Linked DNA regions of Macaca fascicularis. The protein of the gene in region 1 interacts with the protein of each later gene in a biochemical or structural test. Links are inferred from orthologs where the notes say so. Each region holds a gene or a part of one and is shown on either strand. Other genes may lie near its edges.

The links.
Region 2: the proteins of MBL2 (region 1) and CR1 interact in a biophysical measurement, tested with the Homo sapiens proteins (2 studies listed by IntAct). The link is inferred for Macaca fascicularis from reciprocal best matches to the Homo sapiens genes MBL2 and CR1.
Region 3: the proteins of MBL2 (region 1) and CALR form a complex in vitro, tested with the Homo sapiens proteins (2 studies listed by BioGRID and IntAct). The link is inferred for Macaca fascicularis from reciprocal best matches to the Homo sapiens genes MBL2 and CALR.

The regions. Positions count from the first base shown.
Region 1 is NC_088383.1:93,790,927-93,793,708, reverse strand, and holds the end of MBL2 (mannose-binding protein C), read right to left. Parts: intron 2,239-2,782; coding exon 2,170-2,238; intron 1,414-2,169; coding exon 1,040-1,413; 3' UTR 560-1,039; downstream 1-559. UniProt on the Homo sapiens protein: Calcium-dependent lectin involved in innate immune defense. Binds mannose, fucose and N-acetylglucosamine on different microorganisms and activates the lectin complement pathway.
Region 2 is NC_088375.1:65,320,638-65,324,874, reverse strand, and holds the start of CR1 (complement receptor type 1), read right to left. Parts: upstream 2,824-4,237; 5' UTR 2,728-2,823; coding exon 2,592-2,727; intron 1-2,591.
Region 3 is NC_088393.1:13,335,969-13,340,265, forward strand, and holds the start of CALR (calreticulin), read left to right. Parts: upstream 1-1,452; 5' UTR 1,453-1,523; coding exon 1,524-1,614; intron 1,615-1,975; coding exon 1,976-2,077; intron 2,078-2,269; coding exon 2,270-2,473; intron 2,474-2,895; coding exon 2,896-2,990; intron 2,991-3,082; coding exon 3,083-3,292; intron 3,293-3,379; coding exon 3,380-3,493; intron 3,494-3,582; coding exon 3,583-3,726; intron 3,727-4,297. UniProt on the Homo sapiens protein: Calcium-binding chaperone that promotes folding, oligomeric assembly and quality control in the endoplasmic reticulum (ER) via the calreticulin/calnexin cycle.

The DNA.
Region 1 (2,782 bases):
TCTACTGAAACTAAATACATGCTTTCCTCATTCTCTACTAGTTCCACTCCTGGATAGGTAAATTCATGCACCATGTCCACCAGAAGACAAGTCCAGGAATGTTCGTGGATTCTCTTCTTCATGGCCAAAAATTGGAAGCCACTTAAATGCCTATTAACAATAGAATGGATGAACTGAGGAATATTAATATAAGGGAACCCTACATGGCAGTGAAAAGGATGAAACTTCTGTACATATGACATGAATGAATCTCACAGATTGAATTCTGAGTAAACAAGACAGACAACATTACACACAGTATGATTCCAACTACACAATGTTTATAAACAGACAAAATTACTGGGCAGTCATGGAGGTCAGAACAGTATTTTCCTAGAAGTTAACACTAGAAGGACTTATAAAGGGGCTTCTAGGAAGTCAAAAACATCCCATATTTTAATCTAGAAAGTGAGTATATAGTTATGTATGTGAGTGAGAATTTGTGAATCTGTTTGCTTGAGATTTGTTACTTATGTTCTTTACATGGTTTAATATCTCATTAAAAAGAAAACAGAGTTCATAAAGTTACAAAATAGATTTTATTAATACCTGAAACTTGTTAAAAAGCTATGGTATTAAATTGTGGTGATGTCATTAGGGGAGCCCTCTACCCAAAGAGAAAGGAAGGCTCAACAGAGCACAGGTGTTTGTTGTAAATGGAAAAATAAATCCATCTTATGTTCATATTGCAGCAAGTTAATGCTACTGAAAGTATTGCAGCTTAGTTAAACTAGATAATTAACGTAGGATGCAAAAGATAGGGTCTTGTGGTATATATTAAAAATATATTGTTATATAATTAGCATGACTACTACTGCTGCTACTAACTACTACTACTATTATTATTACTTTGTTGGTGCTGTTAGTGATCATTTTTAGTGACTGCCACAAAAGAAACAATACTGGATAAGGGGAAATTGATATAATTTATCTTTTCAAGCAGACTGTGGGCCTGCGGGTTGCAGTAAAAAGACAAGGAGGGCCTGAGTGATGTGACCCTTCAGATAGGGAACTCGCAGAGGGCCAGATGGGAAGAGGAGCAGGGGATGTCATTCCACTTGCCATTTTTCAGTAACAATACACAGTCTTCATTAGAACCAGCATTGTTGGGCTCACCATCGTTCCAGTTTGTGTAGGTCAGTTTATTTCCTGTCAGATCTACAAACTCCCCTTCTGTGTTCTCATCAGTGATGCCCAGGAAGGCTTCCTCCTTGATGAGATTCTGGATGGCTCTGTTCTCTGCAGCATTCCTGGGGGTGGCCACAGAGGCCTGAAACTCGGCACACAGGGCCTTCACTTTGTCAAAGGTCATCATTTCACCATTAGTCAGGAAGAACTTGTTCCCAACTTGTCTGCCCAGAGAGAAGGTCAGCCCTAAAATGTGAAAAAGTGGGTGAAATTGGCTTATCCTTAAGCCCAACTCAAGGTATTTCTCAAGAAAAAGTCTTCTAGAGTAGAGTTGCCAGATAAAATATAGCATGTCCAGTTAAACTTGAATTTCAGACAAACAATGAATATTTTAGTATATCTCCTATATAATTTTTCAGACATATTTATACTAAGAATGTTTTTAAGCTGAAATCCAATTTAATTGGTGCTTTGTCTTTTTCTTTGTTAAATATGGCAACCCAAATGTGAACAGACAGACTGCTACAAAGGCCTCTCTGTGCTTTCAGATCAGAATTCTAAAAGATATATAATTTGGACTTCCAAATTATAAATTATTAACTTGAGACCAAACAAAAAATGTCTGAAAATATTTGCCCGAGGCAGGTTAGACCCCATGTCCAGGTCTCAATACCAGTGCAACAAAGGGATATAAGTCCCATTTTCAGTGAGCAATATCAGAGGGTAAAATATTAGGGTCTCTCGAGTTAGACTGACTTCCATCTATAAAGCACCCCTGCCATTTATTAGCTCTGTGCATTTGAGCAAGTAATTTAACTTCCCTTTGCCCCCATTTCTACCAAAATGTTGTGAGAATTCCATGAGGTCAGAATATGAGAAATGCCCATCAGGGTACAGAAAATTATATGCATTCAATAAATATTTTTTGCATTCTATAAATATTTGTAGCATTCTATTTTTCCCAAATTTCAAGCTGCCTGGAGAGTAAGAGAAAAGGCTTACATTTTTTGATACGAGCCATTTCTGTTTGCAGAGCTTTTCTTTCTGAGGCAGCCAGGCTACTCTCACAATCTAGAAAATTAGAACAAAGTAAAGAAGCATTGTTGAGAAGGAACCTCGGAACTGTGCATATACACGAGAGTAGAGTATCTTTTTCAAATTGAAAAAGAAGCTTATTTTACATTGATGTTTACACTTCAAAGGAAAATAAAAAATACTTAAAAGTCAAAAGAATGAAAAATCTCTATTTTCATCCAACCCCAAACGTCACTCTTTGTCTGTTTACTGTATCCCAAAGTACACGTACATATCACATGCACACATATACTCCCTGATTACTTAGCAATCCATAGGCCAGGTTCTTCACAGATTATTTCTTTCCAAACAAATTGTTCTATCAAAACTAAAAAGAAATCTCTTGAGGCATTAGTCTATTATGACCTGGTGAAGAGTGACTAAAAAGATTACAGGGTTTTTGTCTTTGGAGAGGTTTTGCTTTTGTTGTCTTTTATTTTGTTTTTGTTTTTCCCAGGTTTGTTCTATTAGTCAGGAAACCAAGGTTTTTGTGAGTTGCCCATTATCCAAGTGGGGAGGGCAAGAGCAAACCACTTGTTGT
Region 2 (4,237 bases), on another chromosome or scaffold:
TCCTTCCTTCCTTCCTTCCTTCCTTCCTTCCTTCCTTCCTTCCTTCCTTCCTTCCTCCGTTCTTTCTCTTTTGATATGGAGTTGCACTCTGTCACCCAGGCTGGAGTGCAATGGCATGATCTCCGCTCACTGCAACCCCTGCCTCCCAGGTTCAAGCGATTCTCAAGCCTCATGCCTCAGCCTCCTGAGTAGCTGGGACTACAGGCACCCGCCATCATGCCTCGGTAATTTTTGTATTTTTGTAGAGACAGGGTTTCACTATGTTGGCCAGGCTGGTCTCGAACTCCTGACCTCAGATGGTCCACCCACCTCAACCTCCCAAAGTGCTGGGATTACAGGCATGAACCACCGTTCCCAGCCCTCTTTATTGTTTTAACTGAGCATTTTATATGATGAAATTTTCTCTTCCTTATTCACATATAATTATCATTCTTTTTTTCACTTTTTTCAGTGGTTGTCCTACATTTGCAATATCTATTTGCAGCTAATCTAAGTCCTCTTTCAAATAGCCCTATACCACTTCACGGGTACTGTGAGTTAATCATAATAACAAAACAATCCTAGTTCCTCTGCTATGTTTTGTATAGAAATAAATATCCCCATAAACTGTCCTATGCAAACTGTTTCTGGATTCACTCTTTAAGTGCTAGTAAATCCATACACCTTTCACTCACACTTTCCTGATCGTAGGAGCTAAGACTTCTCCCTTTTCAGTGATCCTGCAGTCTTGCATGACTTCTTAGTCATGATTTTTCAGATATGCATGGGGGTTTTCAGATTACAAAACACTGTCACATGCATTACACCATCTGATTTTCAAAATACCTCTTTCAGAGATCAGGATGTCAGTTATGCTCATTTTATACATGTGGACACTCAGTGATGTGACTTAACTTACTGGGTCCAAGACCCCAGCTGGTAAGTAGCAGAAGCTGGAAAAAGCCGAACACTGGCTTCCTAATAAGTAGATTTCATAAAACTCCACCACCTACTTCTACATGCATATACCTTGGGTGCATAGCTCTTATACTTCTTTAAAATTCTAAAGGACCGTGCACACTGGAAACATCCATCAGCATTTTAAAATTTAAATTATGTCAGCAAGAAAATTTCCAGGTAGTATAGTTTAGGCTGTTTCACATTTGGAGGTTATTGTGATAACCTCAGTAATTTTTTTTATTTTTGCAATTAATAGTGTCTGGGATTGTTTATAACAGTAACTTAATCAACATAGGCAAACTAAAACAACATTCTAGTAAGAAGAGGGTCAGTACTCACAAGGATGACACAAATTCTTAAGCACTGACAACAGATTGCTTAACTTACTGGGCATGCTTCTCTCCTAAAAATAAAATTGTAAGTTTTATCATATCTCTTCACCTGACAGGTTACTTTCTGGTGCCTAAGGAGATCAAATAGTAATAACAACTCTTGCGGGAACTTGGTTTTAATTTATTTTATTTTTTACTCTTTTAGAGAAGAAGGAACACTCAAATAAAGAATGCAAAATGTCTAGTAGCAGAGAAGGGCGAACCTGGAGTTGTCAGAAGAGGCTGGACAGGAACAACCAAGACTGTCACTTCAATTGAGATGTTGCCAGTGAGTCTAGGCAAACAAGAAGACTTCTGGGGAGCCCAAAAATAATAATAGAAGGGTTCTAATTGAAGATGTTTACCTATGTGAAGTTAAGAAAAAGGAAGAGATGTGGCCTCAAAATTTCCATAGTAGTTATAATAATAGGGTTTATTTTGCACTAAACACATCCCTAAAATGCGAACTGTAAACATATCTACTGTTCCTTCTACCTGCAGCGGTTACACTGCATGTTCTGGGGCTGCCCTTACTCCTCTAATCCCCAAGTGCCTGGCATGCATCTGTCTTAAAATATACTATCAATCAAGTGCAAGGGTGATGATAGCGGTGGTGGCTTGGGGTGGGGAACGAGGACAGTTCTATGTGGGGCAGTTGTCAGGTAATACCTGCATCCCTAGGACTGCTTGTCTAAACACCATTGGGAGCAAAGTGCAGAGGCAATGGTTGAGGGGATAGAAATGGACTCGGGGACAGGCCCTGTGTTAGACACTCGACAGGCTTTATGCCACTGAGGCAGCACCTCCACAATGCACAGATATCAATGTCCCCATTTTACAGAAGAGCAAACAGACTTAGGTGTGCTAAGCTGCCTCATAGTTAAGTTTCTAGGACCAGAACTCAGGTTTGTCGGATCCCCAAGTCCCCTTTCGCTAGGATCAACGCCACGCTCCGCTATAGCCAGCCTAGACTGTGAATACACAAATGCAAGGAATTTCATGCGACACCCGCTCAGCATCTGCGCCTTCCTCTGCGCTGGTCACGACTTAAGCCCCATGCACATGGGGACTCCACGCTTACCCAGAAGCAGCGAGGGTCTCCAGTGAGCAGAAGAATCCCAGACCCGCCGCCCTGCCGGTTTGCGCGCTCAGCCCACCCATCGCACTGCCTTCGGACCCGGGCGTCCAGAGGAGCGCAGCCCAGCGAGGCACGCGAGTTCCCTGCGGGGCCCCGGGTGCCTCGTCCGCCCAGGCGCCTCCCCACGCCCGCCCGCGTCTCACCCCAGGCCACCGGCAGCGCGAGCAGCACCACAACCGCCAGCAGGGATCCTCCGCAGCAGAAGGGGAGACGGGGCGCCGGCGGCCCAACAGGCTCCGGGCTTCTTGGAGAAGAGGCCCCCATTCTCCCCAAGCACATCTACAAACCAGATTTGTTCTCGAAGAAAGCTGAAATAAGAGGAAAAGAGCAGTACAAAGAGGAGGGACCAATCCTTGTGCTCCGCGCCCAGGGTATGGGGAGGGCTGCGGGGTTCCGGGACAAAATGCTTTTCACCACAGCTTCCTCTTCATGGGCGAGGCCATGTTTACTCCCCATTTGCATTGTTTCTAACGGGTTTCTCTGGCAGAGCCCACGTTGCGGACCCAGGTGCAGCAGCAGAGCTTGACAATGCTTGGGCTTCCGATGGATCCCGCGTGCGAGGCTCTGCGCTTACAGACACAGGTGGTGGATGACGGCAGCTCGCCTCCAAACAGCCTGCTTGACTATTCCTCTTTGCAAGAATGTGTGTGGGAAGGTCAGCTAATGAAATGCCTGGTCTCTGTGTTGAAGCGCAATTGCAGGCCATGTGTACAGTGTACAGAGAATGTGAAGAACCAATTTCCTTATCGTGAATTGAGATGTCAGGCCATCGTAAGATTTTTAAAAAGGGAGGGACGATCGGATATACATTTTTAAAATGTAAATGTGTGTATAGTATGGAAGGTAGATTAGAATAGGGCAATAATGGAGAGGGGAGACCAGTCAGGGAGCTTTTGCTGACATCCAAGTGAGGTTTGATGGCGGCCCTGACTGGGTGGATAAAGTGGATAATTAACAAAGATTTTGGAGATGAAATGAACAGTTGCTTGTGTACTGGATATTGGTTACTTCCTTTCTTAAGGTTGGTGGTGAGAAGAAAGCAATCAAGAGTTAGCCCCAGGATTAGAAATGGATGGTGGTGCTACTTATTGAAATAAGAAATATGGATGTAGGAGTGACAGATTTAGGGTGACGGTTAAGTATTCAAGGATGAATTTATTCCTCCTATCTATCTGTGATCCTGTGCCCTTTAACCAATCTGTCTCTATCTCCCATTGTCTCTCCCTTCCCCAGCCTCTGGTAACCAGTACTCTACTCTCTACTTCTATGAGATGAGCTTTTTTAGAGTCCACATATGACTGGTATCATACAGGATTTGTCTTTCTGTGCGCACTGGTTTCCATTAGGCTTTCTCCCAAAATTCTAGTGGAAGAAATGTCTACTTTGATCATATCACTTATCACACTTTTTAATACATCCAGTGACATTCTTTTAAGGATTTGCTATCATCATTTCAAGTTATTCTCGACAGAGTAATGGGAGAAGCAGTCAGATTGTAGTAGGCTTAGGAAAAGAGAAGAGGAGAAGGCTCAGTTTCTCAGTTTTCCATCACATGCTATCAGAAGGTGCCACTCCTTACCACTTCTGCTAGTATCCATCTCCTAGTGTCTACTTTCTCCCCTCATTCCTTGAAGGTTTTAGCTCCTGGCTCATGGCCACCTTCTCCACTATTAGTTCTGCCACAGTCCCTGGTTATTTCAATATTCACAGAAATAGCATTTTCAAATCCCTGGCCTTAAAGTGCCTTGACCTCTTCTCTGCCTGTGGTCTTGTCCTCTATTCTCCTCTG
Region 3 (4,297 bases), on another chromosome or scaffold:
TCGCCTTGTTGGCCAGGCTGCTCTCGAACTTATGACCTCAAATGATCCGCCTGCCTCGGCCTCCCCAAGTGCTGGGTTTACAGGCGTGAGCCACCGCGCCCGGCCACCATTTCTTTTTCTTTTCTTAACCAAAGACCCTTGCCAAGTCATTCCCCCACTCCACTTTGTTTTCCTTTTCATTTTTTCCTTCCTCCCTTTTCTGAGTCACAACCATTAGCCAGGAAGCACCCCCTCCTCACCCTCTTTCCTGGATCCCCCTCATTCCCTCCTTCCATAGTCCACTCCCGTGTTCCCAGGTCCAGGGCTTATTTGCCCAGAGTTTGGAAAACCCCCAGATCTCCTTTCTACAGCGTGGGGGCAGGGTACTGGTGCCAGTCACGTGCCTCTGGCTTCAGAAGACTCCAGACTGGGGTGGGGTGGGGGGGTCCTGCCCATCTCCCTAGCACCTTATCTTCGCTACCATCTGTGTCTTTTTTCCCTCCCCAAACGGAACCCCCTGCCCTCTCGCCTATAGTCGTTTAATTGCAAAAGCCAGGCCGTTTGTGGGAGACCACAGACAGCGACCTCCTTCATTTACCGGTTGAGACGAGAGTAAAGGGGCTGCTGCAATCTGGGTAATAACCCTATCCCCACCCCAGGAGTCACAGTCACATCGTTAAGTCTTCCTCCCCTCTTGTCCCAGGCCAGCTTTAAAAACGTTAACAGCATTTCTGCTGGGTAGCACCTGGCCAGGGTCACCCCCTCTGTCTGCTCAGGAACGTCTGTCACTTCAGAGAGGTTAAGTGACTTGCCCCAGTCACACAGCAGCAGTCTGATAGGCTGCCAGGGCCCTAGGGGCAGAATGAGGAGAGGGCTGGCATTCTTCCCACTGGCCCGCGTGGCTGTAGCACCGGGGTGCAGCGTAGCCCCAGGGCCCCAACCCATGAGCTCTCTCCTATCCTGGGCGGGGGTTGGGGAGCAGCAGTGGGGTGCTGGTTCCCAAATGCAAGATAAGAACTGGCTAGGAAAGCCTTGCCCAGCCCCTCCACCTAGAGGGAACGGGAGGAAGAGAAGCTGAGGCGGGGTCCCGATCCCGCGTGGAAACACCTGCGCTCCCGCGGGTTCTTTAAACGCTCAGATGGGGAACGACGCGCACGGGCAAGGGCGGTCTTAGGTTCAGGTCTGGTCACATGACCTGGCCTGAGGGGCTCGCGGCCCCCACCCCACCAGTGGGCGTCCCCCACAACGCGTGGTCGACCATCATTGGTCAGTGGTGAGGCCAATAGAAATCGGCCATCTGGGAACCCAGCGTTCCGAGGCGCAGCCTAACCTAGTGAACTGACGAAGGTCCAATGGAAAGAGACGGCCGTGGGCGCAGGCCAATGATAAAGTGTCAGGGGCGGGCCCAAGGGCTGGGTCAGGTTGGTTTGAGAGGCGGGTGGGTATAAAAATGCAAGGCGGGCGGCGGCGTCCGTCCGTACTGCAGAGCCGCCGCCGGAGGGTCGTTTTAAAGGGCCCGCGCGCCGCCGCCCCCTCGGCCCGCCATGCTGCTATCCGTGCCGCTGCTGCTCGGCCTCCTCGGCTTGGCCGCCGCCGAGCCCGCCGTCTACTTCAAGGAGCAGTTTCTGGACGGAGGTAACGCCTGGTCCCACCTCGAGGCCGTCCCGGCGACGCGGCCGGCCCCCCATCTCGGATCTGCGTCGTCGCCCGTAATTACCGCTTAGAGGGCCAACACAGTGGTCCCCGGCGACTGGAGCTGCGGGCGATCCCTCTTCTGCGTCCCTGGGGAACGCGGAAGGCGTAGCGGCCTCCCGCGGCGGGAGTTAGGGTTCGCCCGAGGATCGCTGAAGGCACCCGACGTGTCAACTAGAGGTTGGGGTGGGGAGAGTCGGGGATCTCCTTCCCTGTCCCCAGCAGCTTGTGGTTCTCCGCAGATACTTGGTGTGGGGGGGATTAGCAGAGCCGCGCTGACCTAACTCTCTAACCCCCCACTTAGACGGGTGGACTTCCCGCTGGATCGAATCCAAACACAAGTCAGATTTTGGCAAATTCGTCCTCAGTTCCGGCAAGTTCTACGGTGACGAGGAGAAAGATAAAGGTAAGAGCTTAGGAGTGGGTGCTCAGATCCGCGAGGACTTCCTGGCAGAAGTCCTTGTCCGCACATACACAGCCGGGACAGTCCCCTAGGAGCAGGGCAGGTGGAGGAAGTGGGGGAGTCGTCTGTATCGTCTAAATCGAGGATCCTCGCGGGTCAGGACCCAACGGTGACCACACTACCGTCCCGTCTCAGGTTTGCAGACAAGCCAGGATGCACGCTTTTATGCTCTGTCGGCCAGTTTCGAGCCTTTCAGCAACAAAGGCCAGACGCTGGTGGTGCAGTTCACGGTGAAACATGAGCAGAACATCGACTGTGGGGGCGGTTATGTGAAGCTGTTTCCTAATAGTTTGGACCAGACGGACATGCACGGAGACTCAGAATACAACATCATGTTTGGTGAGGGGCTGCTTCCTGGTGCTGACCTCTGTCCCATTAGTTGGAGGGAGACCCAGACCCCATTGACTTTCTTAATAGTTATGATTGTCTTTGGAAGGGGCGCTAAAATAATTAAGTCACAGCAACAATTTATTGCGTTATGATCGCAGATCTAGGCTGTTAATTAATTTGTGTCATTGTATATAGTTATTTCCCAATCTTACAAATGAGGATGTTGAGTTCTAGAGCACTGATTTTTTTTTTTTAATTTAAACTTAAGGCTTCACCCACAACCCATTCAGGACAGAATCAGGGTCTGAGTTTCTCTTTTCAGCCTTGACAGACCCGAGTTTAGGAACCAGGTCTTCCTTTTGTAAAGAGGGGTGAGGAACTCGAAATGGTGGGTAGTCTCTGACTTTTAACTGGATCTGCTTCACACCTAGGTCCTGATATCTGTGGCCCCGGCACCAAGAAGGTTCACGTCATCTTCAACTACAAGGGCAAAAACGTGCTGATCAACAAGGACATCCGTTGCAAGGTGTGCCTGGGGGTGGTGGCAAATGGGTGTCATGGGGAGGTTCAGAGGTCAGCCTGATTGAGGGGGGGCTGCTCACCTTCTTCCTTCTTCAGGATGACGAGTTTACACACCTGTACACACTGATTGTGCGGCCAGACAACACTTATGAGGTGAAGATTGACAACAGCCAGGTGGAGTCGGGCTCCTTGGAAGACGATTGGGACTTCCTGCCACCCAAGAAGATAAAGGATCCTGATGCTTCAAAACCTGAAGACTGGGATGAGCGGGCCAAGATCGATGATCCCACAGACTCCAAGCCTGAGGTTGGTGTTTGGGTGGGGGCTCTGCTCTCCACATTGGAGGGTGTGAGGACATTTGGGCCAACTCTGACCTCTTCATCTATCCTCCAGGACTGGGACAAGCCCGAGCATATCCCTGACCCCGATGCTAAGAAACCCGAGGACTGGGATGAAGAGATGGATGGAGAGTGGGAACCCCCAGTGATTCAGAACCCTGAGTACAAGGTGAGTTTGGGGCTCTGAGCAGGGCTGGGGCTCACAGTGGGGAGTGCACCAACCTTACTCACCCTCTAGTTCCCTTCTTCCTTCTGCAGGGTGAGTGGAAGCCCCGGCAGATCGACAACCCAGATTACAAGGGCACTTGGATCCACCCAGAAATTGACAATCCCGAGTACTCTCCTGATCCCAGTATCTATGCCTATGATAACTTTGGTGTGCTGGGCCTGGACCTCTGGCAGGTGAGACTTGGAGGAAAAAGGAGGATCCCTGGGGTACCTCAAGTGCATAAGATCACCCAAGGGGAAAGTGACAGGATACGATCACACCCCAGGCGGGTCTGACTCAAAAATGGTACTTTTTGTAAACAGTACTTCCTGGTCTGTCCCTGTGGAGTCCTCACAGCAATGCTTTTGAGGTTGTACTTCTTGTGAACTAAGTACTTCCCCAAGTACTTTTATGCAAATCAACTTCTTTAAATACCCCCAAAGAACTAGAAGGTGGTCAGGTAACCCACTTAGTTAGCTGGGGCTGGGCACAGTGGCTCACCCTTATAATCACAGTACTTTGGGAGACTGAGGCAGGAGGATTGCTTGAGGCCAAGAGTTAGACAACCTTGCTTGGCAACGTAGTGAGGAGACCCTATCTCTACAATTTTTTTTTTTTTTTTTGAGACGGAGTCTCACTCTGTCCCCCTTGCTGGAGTGCAGTGGCCGGATCTCAGCTCACTGCAAGCTCCGCCTCCCGGGTTCAGGCCATTCTCCTGCCTCAGCCTCCCGAGTAGCTGGGACTACAGGTGCCCGCCACCTCGCC